2 linked regions of the Caenorhabditis elegans genome follow. The protein of the gene in region 1 purifies or fractionates together with the protein of each later gene. This does not show direct contact. Each region holds a gene or a part of one and is shown in the gene's direction. Other genes may lie near its edges.

Region 1 (5,874 bases):
TTGCTGCCCGTATTATATAAAACATTCACTAAATGTGTGTTGAATAGAATACGAAAAACACTCGAAGAAGCTCAACCCGTTGAACAAGCCGGATTCAGGAGATCTTTCTCAACAATTGATCACATCCACTCAGTCCAACGCTTGCTCGAAGTGGGAAGAGAGTACCAGATCCCACTGACACTTGTTTTTATAGACTTTCAAAAAGACTTCGACAGTGTCGAACCACAAGATGTCTGGGATAGTCTTCAGCAGCAAGGAGTGCAAAGGGGATATATCAACCTCCTCCAAGAATGCTACACCGATTGCTCGACCACCTTCACGCCGTTCCATAAAAACGTAACTGTCCCGGTCACACGAGGAGTCAGACAAGGTGACCCAATATCGCCAAACCTCTTCTCTGCGTGTCTTGAACATGTTTTCAGACAACTCAACTGGAAACACTTCAAAGGAGATGAACGATACGAAACTGAAGGAATACGTGTGAACGGTCAGAATCTCACCAACCTCCGTTTTGCAGACGACATTGTCCTCGTGGCTCATAATCCGCGAACGGTAAGTCAAATGCTTACGGAACTGGTGGAAAAGTGTAGTAGTGTTGGTCTAAAAATCAACACAGGGAAAACCAAAGTCCTTCGGAACAGGTTTTCCTATAAGAGGAAAGTTGAGATCCGATGCCCAAACACCACCAACATCATCATTGATGATGTCAACGAATACATCTACCTCGGGCGCCAAATAAACGACAGTAACAATTTGTTAGCTGAGCTTCATAGAAGACGAAGAGCTGCGTGGGCAGCTTTTACCAACATCAAAAGCACCATGGACCAGATCACCTGCCCACGCCTCCGTGCAAATCTCTTCGACTCTACGGTTCTCCCAGCCCTGACCTACGGCTCTGAAGCTTGGACTTTCACAAAAGAGCTAGCGGAAAGAGTCAGAGTAAAAGTTCGAAAAAAGTCAAAACTCAGAGATCCACTAATACACATAAAAAAGAGGAAACTTGGATGGGCTGGACACGTGGCGAGACGAACGGATGGCCGATGGATAACTTTGATGAACGATTGGTGCCCCGAGACGAGAAACGACCCGTTGGACGCCCACCGATGAGATGGAATGACTCTTTAAGAAAAGAAGTCACTACGCGAGACGCCTTCGGGCAAGTCAAACAACTATGGTCCACCCAAGCAAAGGACCGAAAAGCTTGGAAAGCTGTGATCCGCGCCGCAGGCGAAGAACGGATCGACTAAGTATCCTAAGTATCATAACCAAAAAACTCACTTTTCCTATATTCTCGAAGCTTCTCATTAAAATCCTTCAGCATCCGATCAATATATTTCCGCTTTGCGTAAAACTTCATCCAAACTGTTCTGAAACAAAATTCTGAATTTTAGTACTTTTGTAGAACATACACATCATCTCCCGGTTCTTCTATGATAAGCGGGACCTCCACTATGCGAGAACAAAATCTACGACTCAACGTTTTGCATTTGATTTTTCGAAATGGAATTAGATTCACCGCTATAAGCTTTTCATCCACTTCCTTAACAATATTAACAGATGATTTTTCGAATCGAATATTAGAGTCCTCGTATTTGGCAGTAGTGATAACGTTTGGTCCAACAAAAGTGATGTCAATAATTGATATATATTCAGACATCTATTAAGCAAATAAGATGAAAAAAGGGTGAATAACACAATGCAACACCCTGTCAAGGCAAAGATGGATCAATAAGATTATGCTCAATATTGTAATTATAGACTGTACCACGGGGCCAGCTGTTCTTCTATAACAGGGATTACATTTGTAATGCATAGGTGCAGGCTAGGAAAAAATCATAGCCGTGACCAAATTCTGGTTTGCGGTAGAGGTGTTGAAAGTGCAAAGTTCGTTTTGTTATCTACAACTTTACGCGATCATTTTATATGTCTTCAATGAGAGAGCACATTGAGTTTCTGTAGGCCGGCCTTAAGGCAGGTGGCTAGATCGGAGGTGTTAATATGGAAAGCCATAATTATGGGTTACAACATAAAATTTCAGTATCCGTGTAAGCAAGAAATTTGGGAAATGAACATAGACTGAAAATATGTAAAATATTGGTAGAATGACGGGTTTTTTTTTGAAATATCGGAAAACGTGGAAAATCAAGTTTTTGTGTGGATAATTTGAGTAATTGGGTATCGTAAGGCCCATATAAAACTTGGCGACCTTGTGCAGGAAACTCATTGAATTAGGTTATGTAGACCGCAGGCCCAGACCAGTCTTTTTGCACGAACTTACTCAAAACTCCCCACGACCCAATTCACAGTAACTCCAATTTCCAGAGGAAACACTTCATTCAAAACTAACACAAAAACCAGTAAAATCAATTTAAATTCTCATTCTTTCATCAGAAGACGCTTTGAAACATTATCCCAAACAGGTTGCACAGTAGCAACAAGCTTTCTCTTGCACTTGGTCTTCACTGAACTCCAAAAGGAGATTTTTTGATCTTGAGCCCTTGCGATTTTGGTTCCTGTGCGAAGACTTTCATACCAAGACCTAGTAGAATTCTTCACCTTCTGGATGGTAGAGGTGACATGCCAATTCTTATCACGCAGGACGTGGTAGTAGCCGATGAGAATGCTCCAGGTGTTCTTGCAGGTGTCCTCACTTGACACCGTGCTGGAAATTAATTGATTATTAAATATTGCAGTATAGACTGAGGTGAAACACCTAAGACCCGGAAATTCGGACGCGCTTTTATAGTCCGTAATCGGTCCAACGCTCACTCAGTGTGCTCTCCCGATCGATAATCTGACGTTTCACGAAGACAGTCGTATTAATATAATTTTGATCTACCTGTAAATATTGATCTGCCCTTTCTTGTTTGTTCGTAGTTTGCACTCCCTCTCTTTCCCGCGTCTTTCCCCCTTTCCAGTTTAGCCCTATAAAAGGAGATGATTCGTTCATCTTCTCTTCTTATTTTTTACTTTTACGTCTTGGGCATTGTGTGCCGTTTACCTTCTGCTACTCTTTGCCCCTTATTGCTCTTCTGTATCAAATTAATATTCACACTCACTCATTATTCTCTTTACAGTTATGTCGTTTCCAATCCTCTTGTTGCCCCCGAAAGCTCTGCAAAATGTTCTGCGAAACATGGAGAGTATGGATTTGTAAGTTTTTCCCCTTTTAAAATTGTTTATTAATTAAATATTTACAGCGTCTTCTTCTCATTTGCATCGAAAAAGTGCTTGGATCTCGCAGTTTCCCAGAACATCAAAATATCGCATCTACATTTGACGTCTGAACGAATTGATCACATCGAGATTGCGGCAGTATTTGAAGACAATACAAGTGCAGGATTAATTCCTTGGCGTGAAGCAAACCAGCCGGTATTGCTACCAATATTGGGAATTAGGTACCCAGACGGACAATATATGCAAAGCTTAGATATGAGGAGGACTGTTCGGTGGGTTGGACATAAAGCGCTCATTGAGCACTTCATCGTGTTATTCCATCGATCGAAAATCGACAGGATTAGTCTTCGTAGAGCTGTGTTGGATTCCGAACAGCTCGCCAATATGCACATACCGATTGGAGAGTTCAGATTGTGCACTGATGGTCTTCTTTACGATGAGGTTATTCGGAGTATTTCAATTCTCAAATCTGAAAAGCTACACATCACATGCAACCATAACAGTTTCGAAGACCGCCAGATGCACGAGCTACTTGGAAGAAATCTTACTGGTGTGGAGTTCAGTAAAATGGAAAAATCTTCGTTATGGATGACTAATGCAACACATATCAGAACACTGGTATGTATCAAATCACATTTGTTGAATGAATTCCTGAAGCACTGGATCCAAGGATCAAATCCCAGAATGAAATATCTACAGACTTCCGTTCAACTGGAGATGGAAGAGTGCAAGTCAAAGATATTTCAAGGGATAAATGTGTCTATTGAGGAGGATGCGATAATGATTAAAAGTCTTCGAGGAACACTTGCGAGGATCACTTTGAAGGTGGTCAGGCAGGAAGTTTCGATTCGAATGGTTGTTCAAACTACTCCATTTTAATTTTATTTACTCGTTTCTGTGATTCTTCTATGATGTTCTTTGTTAAATGAATGTTTTTTTTTTAAATTTCCATAAGCTTAGTTATTACCGTGTTCAAGACATCTTCTACAGAAAAACATCTGATTTGAAAATGTAAGGTGAAAGTTTACATAGGACACCCCTTGTCGAATCTTCCATTAATAATCGCCCAACTTCTATAGGTCACCCCCAATGTTTCGTTTGCCTGCTCCGGGGTTCAAGCTTTTGATAGGGTTAGCTCATAATTCGAATAAATTTCCAGGTAGCCTATTCTAAGTTGGCATATTGTTTTTTTCTAGCTTAAAGGGCTTGTACTTAGCTAGTTTTTTGTGATATAGGTTCTTTTTCAAATCACAAAAAATGCTTGGTAAGTAAATTTTTTTATTCCCTTCCTTCCCCGTGACCTGGACCATGTGTGCACCTGTCATCTTATCGCTAGGAAAAGACCCCTTCTAGCTCATTTCCCCTCTCATGGCTCTCCCAATTCTTCGTCTTCCCCGAAAATGCCTACGTCTCGCAGCTCTGCACATGAAATTTATCGATTTGTAAGTTGCATTTTTCTTGGATTTTCTTTTTTGTTGAGTTTTAAAAACTTAAAAACCGTATTTTTTGTAGAATACGCTTCTCATTCACCTGTGAGACTGCAAAAAATCTCGCGGAAACTTTCAACTTTCCGGTGACCGGAATTCGAATGGCTATCAGAGCAAATTTCCGTCTTGATGTTATCTATGAAGGGGAAATGTATACATTTGCAACTGAGAAGTGGCTGGAAGAACAGGATCTGGAACAAGTTTACATTTCTCGACGGCAAATCGTGATTTTCCCGGAAGAATTTGGCATCAGAAATTACATTGATCACCTGCAAATTGTGCTGAAATATCCTAAGATTACTGAGCTGTTCATTGCAAGCTTCGATCACGATTCAGAGCAGTTTTGTAAGGAGTTTGAAGGCTTGAAGTTCAGAACCTTAAGTTTTGGATCCAACGATCCACTGTCCTCAATGCGCACCGCAATCAGTCTATCCCCTCAAAGTGATATTATCCAGCTCGAAGGTGAAGATATGTCATCTGCGAAGTCTCTTCTTCTACAGAACACCGATGAAGTCTACATAACATCCTCACCATTCACCTTTACCCTCAATGACCTACTACTTTGCAATAGCCGGAGAGTGGTTGTGCGCGCGAGATGGGACCTGAAGGACCTGAACACGTTCCTGAAGCACTGGGCAGCAGGGGTAAGGAGATTGGAAAAGCTAGTTGTTGGGCATCAGAATCTACCGAGAACTTTGAATCAGCGGATGGCTAGCTTGTTCCAAGGGATCAGTCATGAGGTTTTGCCGAAGGATCGTGTGACAAGGCATTTGGATGGTGGAGAGGAAGTGATGTTCAAGGGAGGAACGATTATTAGGAGAAACGATGGAATTGAGGCAATTGTTATTTTTAGTTTTACCTTTCAAATGTTTGTGCTTAATGATTTATGAATAAATTTTAATTTGGATTTGTTTGAAAGCTGGAAACAGAAAAAAAGGTTCCTAAACAGGCCTTTCAGATTTTCAGGTTGATATTCGGCCCGGCAGCCTGGCTTTTGCCATTTTGTTGGTCCGCCAGCCAGACCTCAATAGGCCGACAGCCCGGGCCGGTCCTGCTTTACATGTGTTGATTTGACTTAGCTCTTCCGATACTGCTTTATTTGATAAAGGATTTCCTCTCTGAGGCGAAAATAGCCGCTTGGCAAATTTTTTTGTCGACAAATTCGGCAAATCGGCAATTTTCAAATCCGGCAATTCGCCGATTTGCCGGA
Region 2 (5,359 bases), on another chromosome or scaffold:
ATAAATGGCCAAGTGATGAATCAACAGAACCAAAGAAATCAGGTGAATAGTTATCCACAGCAGAATGGTGCTGGTCGTGGACAGAATCGACAGCCGATGATGTATCAGATGCCATGCAACAGTGGGCCGACAGCAAAGCCCCCGCCGTTGATGAATCAAATGCAGAATAGATGTATGACCAACAATGGTCAAAACTATCAGAATAGGAATATGCAGCAGCAAGGTCAGCAGCGATCATATTCGTCACAGCCTCAGAATGGTCAGTTCTACCAAAACGGAAATTCCAACCAGAACAATCCGAATAATGGTAGAAAACAGCAGCATCAGCCACAGCAGCAGCAGAACAAATCAGGAAAATTCGGACAGAATAGAAATGATATGCAAAAGAACAATTATCAACCAAATCTACAGCAACCTCCGATGAGTCAAAATCCAATTCCATTTGGGTGAGTTTCAATTACTTGGCTCATTTTAAAATATTGTTAACATTCTTTTTGCAGATGCCCACCACGTAATGTGAATGCGATTCGAGAACAACACGCAAACAATGGATCCCCAAACACTGGCGCTGGAATTCTTGGACCACATCCAATGATGTCTGCATCCCAATGGCCAGCGTTGCAGCAGAATCGGCCTCAATAGTTTGTTATTCCATTCTACGAACACTCTATAGACAATTCATGCTTTAACCACGTCTTTTTGATGTGCTGTGATGGTCATCTTTTCACATTTATCTCCCTTTTCTTGTTCCATCAGTCCGATTCGGAATTGTGTTAATCAACACGGGTCGTACTTCCTCTTTCTCCCCCCATCTCCACATATTTATATCATTATTTTCTACATTCATTTTGGCATGTTTCAAGTTATTCAATTTTCTATTGTTATATGAGCCAAGTTTGATGAAGAAATTATCTTGTTTGACTTTTGTATAGACCAATTTATTATATGTCCAATAGTGGACCGAAACGGAAACATTCAGATTTTAGTTATGCAAGAACAATGAAGAGTGACTGAGAAAGAAGAAACTAGCCAAGAGGGTAATCACAGTATGGAAGAATGGGACGAAAAATAGTATTTAAAATGTGACGAAACCGACAGGATGAGGGTAATGCAATAGATTTTCAGGACAAGTTTTCATAAATGCAGAAATGTGGAATGGAAAAATTTCAGGATAAACTAAATTTCTAGACTTTAGCTGGACGACGTTTTCGAGGAGCATCGTCACTTGGTGATGGTGGAGCAGAGATTTCCTAAATTTCAAAATTATAATTATTTAAATTGAAACACTTATCAGATTACCTCGTCTTCAATTTTTTCATAATTATCATCAGTTGATGCCTGACTATTTTTTTCAGCATCATCGTCTTCTTCCTCTTTTTGCTCCTGTTCAGCAGCAATGTGGTCTTGCTCCTCCTCTTCTGCATCAGAATCCTTTTCTTTTTTCGACTTTTTATCTTTCTTATCTTTCTTAGCTTCTTTCTTCTCATCACCAACATACTCATAAGTATACCATGGTTGGAATGATTCAAGAACTCCACAGTCTTCAGTCAAGTTCGGCAGAACCCAGAGTTTGTGTTTTCCGAAAGTAACAGCGTAGATAATTCCGAAAAGAATAGTACGGACTGAAAATAATCGAAAAATGAATATTATTGTTGAAACAACTCACGTATAGCAGTGACAATGATAGCTGCAAAACATCCAATTCCAGTAATTGATACGTAATAAACTCCTTGGCGAAGCCATACAGGCCATAGAGGGAACAAGCATCCGACAATTGTACCGACGACTGAAATATATTAATTGGATTTTAATTTTACACATTGAATCATTTCTAAAGCAGGAAATAACAAATCAAAAAGGGAAAACTTACGCATAAGTACTCCAATAATCTTTTTCATGAGAGGAGTTGGATCGAATACCCAAACGTAGACATCTTTGTCATCGACGAATGCTTGAACTTCATGTACAAGAAGCTTCACCTTCTTTTTCTTTTTTTCTTCGTCTTTCTTTTCGTCTTTTTTCACTTCTTTCTCATCACCTTCAGCTTCGGTTGCTGTTTCTTCTTCTTTGGCTTTTTTATTTCTCTTTTCAACTACACCTTTTGGAGATTTGGTAACTTCAGCTGAAAAAAACGTGTTTTAAGATATTTTTTAAGTTTTATGATTACCAGAAGAATCGTTTCCTTTATCTTTATTCTCTTTTTTCTTTGCTACTAATTTTTTTGCACGGAAGAATAATTGTTTCGAGTTGAGTTCGCAAATATAATGGAAGCAATCATCTCTGAAAATTTAGAATCTATTTAAATTTACGTAATTTCTACAGAATGCCCACCTTGTTTTAAACATTGCATCTTTCTTTGCTTTATTTCCGTACTTGGATTCCCAAAGAGTATCGACAGCTTTATTTCCTGAAAATATATGCGATATTAATATAAACAATTGAAATTTGTACATACCACTGAAATAATGAACTTCGTTTCCTTCAAACATGGTCGTGGCTGTCGGACAATTGAATCTGATGTATTTGGCAATGTCTTCTTGCTCCTTCGTCATTTTTACGGCATCTTCCGTAGATACGCCCTGAAATTTGAATTAAAACATCGTTCTTTTCTAGTTAATATTGATTTTTCCGAATAAAAACTCACTTTTTGATTACGTTTCGACATGGTTAAAGTTTTCCTTTATTAAAAAAGCAGAAAAAATGTTGAGAATCTGAAAATACAGCCAAAACAAAAGTGGTGCGTTGGAACAAGCCAAAATCTCCTGACAATTGATTGAGAAAAGTGTGCCGCAGTTGCGCTCTGACGGAAAACGCAACTGCCGCACGCTTACACACCGCGTAAATCTACACAAACTCGGCTGGCATTTCTTTCTGATTTTATCGTTCTCTTCATTTATTTTCATAATACAGGTTTCTAAAACATTTTTTTTCAATTATTTTAATTCCAGAATGGGTGGAGGACATCACGAGCCGTTTAAGATCCCAAACTACTCAATCTACAGCAATTTTCGCGATTTTCCACAGTTGGCGCAGCATGAAAAACGACTCGCTCAAATCGGATTGAAGGATCCATGGATCAGGTCGGTTTTTTATCGATAATATTAATAAATATATTATTGATTTTTCTTTCAGAAACTACGTCTACTTGTACGATCGAAAGTATCCACACGTTGTTGGACAATGGGCTCATTTCAAGAAGGTTCGTGTTTTCTTCGAGATGAATTAAATATTATTAATATAATACCAACATAATATTAAAAAATTTTTATGGATTGTATCCTATAAATGTGCTCTTGTTTGGAAAATTTCCGAGCAAGCCGATTTTCCAAAAATTATATTAATGTATTTAGGGAATTTTTTAAAATTATTTAATAAATTTCAGTTGATTCTTCCTGGATGGAAAGCTGGAGTTGCATTCACAGCTGCCTTGATTTTCGTTGAAGAAGCTTACCAATACAAGACTCACGGAACCACCTCATGGGATGGTCATCATTAGAATTATCTGTTTCAAATCTCGAGCCGATTTCTTTTTTTTTAGTTTAAAAGTTTTCTTTTTGTGTATGTAGTTTCTTAAACTCCAATAAATCATTCATTTTTAAAATCGCAATTCACCCTCGTTGAAAATTGGTATTCTGCCAGAAAGGTTTCTATGATAACGATGTCAATAAATGTTTTACAACAACAATTTAAAGGGCATGTCTGCTCTAGAGCAGTTCATAAATGATCAGAAGAAGAAAGGAAGTGGTATCAGCAGTTCAGCTTCATTTTCTTCATTTGATTCACTTCGCAACAAGCTTCCAACGTCTATTGGGTAACAAATTTCACTTAGAAGAAATGTATAAAGTTTGAAGTTTCAGAGGATTTTCCCTACTTTCCCGAAGCGAAACAACCGATAGTCAGCAGTTATTAGTTGGAGATGATTCTGGAGATGGACAATTGCCAGCTTCCAGAAATCGGTATGTTTTGTTCAGAAAAACAAAAAAAAATAAACTGAAAATCTTGATTTCTTTGAATTAAATACTCCTAAGTAGGCAAATATCAATTAAATATTATATATTTCAATTTTTAACTGATGAGAAACGGATAAAATTGTTTTCGTTTTAATAGACTCAAAATGGTTTTGAATTACTTAAATTTCATAATAAGATTACTCAAAAACTTTCAACGCTTTTTTGGCAGTTCGAAAAAAGTTTTAAAAATATTTCCAAAAGCTATGTTCACTTATCAGCGAAATTTTACGATTTTCGCGACAAAAATACGGTAGCCGGTATCGACACGCCGTTTTTTTGGAAAACAAAAATAGATGTGAGCCTTTAAAAAGTACTGTAGTTTAAAAATTTCGTTGCCGCTGAATTTTCATCGACTTTACATAGTTTTTCGGTAAAAATATACTTATTTAAAAAATTAAAATATGAATAAGCTATAAAAAATCGACGAAAATTTCACATTAACGAAAGTTTGAAATTACAGTACTCTTTAAAGGCGCGCACCTATTTGAATTTAATTAAATTAGTTGTGTCGAGACCGGACACCGTATTCTTTGCGCAAAATTGCAAGCCCGGGAAATATTATCACTCTTTTTGTGTTAAAACGACAAAATATCATTGCATTTCAAAAAAGGATATCTTTAAAATTTACAGTCAAAAATTGGATATTACTCAGCTTTAGAAACTTATAATTATCGAAGTCAACCAAAAAAAGGATTTTTTACGAATCTTACTTCTTATTTAATGTTCTGAATATTTTTTTAGAACATTTAAAATTTCCAAACATGCGAAATGCTTCTTACTTCTAAAAAAAACCAAATTAAATTGGTATTGAGCCAAAACTATGACTAAATTGTTTTCGAAAAATCGTAATTTTTTAAAGTAAACAAAAAAAAATCTGAAAATATATTTTGTTAAATTTTCCATGTATTAATTTTTAAAGTATTCATTCATAAAAAAATGCCAAAGATATCCGTTGCAAAATTCAACTCAATTAGATTGAAATTTATATTTTGTTTTTGGATAATTGGTTAAGTTAATCAAAAATTTATCACAGTAATATCAATACTACAATTCCTCGATTCAGTACACCATTATTCAAATTTTCTCATATGTTTAAAACATTTTAATCAAGTTTCAGAAAGAGTTCCGGATGGTTTTCGCCGTCAACTCAAGATGAAAGTATGTTTGGAATGACTCGAACTCAAAGAATTATTGCATTTTTCATGTGCATTATTGGAGCAATATTCTGTTTTTCTACTGTCAGTTTTCCCTCTTTTTTTCTCAATTTTCCTCCAGTTTTTTTCCCACAATTCGAAACATTTCTCCGAGCCATTTGTTGAATGTCTCCAACACATTTTACCCTGAAAATG

The links.
Region 2: the proteins of fbxb-67 (region 1) and ndub-3 fractionate together in Caenorhabditis elegans (co-fractionation; one large-scale study listed by BioGRID). This does not show direct contact.

Annotation. Positions count from the first base shown.
Region 1 is NC_003279.8:14,294,210-14,300,083, forward strand, and holds fbxb-67 (F-box domain-containing protein), read left to right. Parts: upstream 1-3,077; 5' UTR 3,078-3,079; coding exon 3,080-3,153; intron 3,154-3,200; coding exon 3,201-4,056; 3' UTR 4,057-4,117; downstream 4,118-5,874. Other genes in the region: fbxa-103 (F-box domain-containing protein), read right to left, coding at 1,279-1,367, 1,410-1,657; fbxb-8 (F-box associated domain-containing protein), read left to right, coding at 4,546-4,619, 4,690-5,554.
Region 2 is NC_003280.10:8,962,480-8,967,838, reverse strand, and holds ndub-3 (NADH dehydrogenase [ubiquinone] 1 beta subcomplex subunit 3), read left to right. Parts: upstream 1-2,948; 5' UTR 2,949-2,949; coding exon 2,950-3,080; intron 3,081-3,132; coding exon 3,133-3,199; intron 3,200-3,382; coding exon 3,383-3,496; 3' UTR 3,497-3,597; downstream 3,598-5,359. Other genes in the region: szy-20 (SUZ domain-containing protein), read left to right, coding at 1-446, 501-642; sec-62 (Translocation protein SEC62), read right to left, coding at 1,185-1,250, 1,300-1,622, 1,667-1,786, 1,871-2,122, 2,168-2,280, 2,332-2,407, 2,456-2,579, 2,645-2,665; sftd-3 (Vesicle transport protein), read left to right, coding at 3,696-3,811, 3,858-3,956, 5,128-5,248.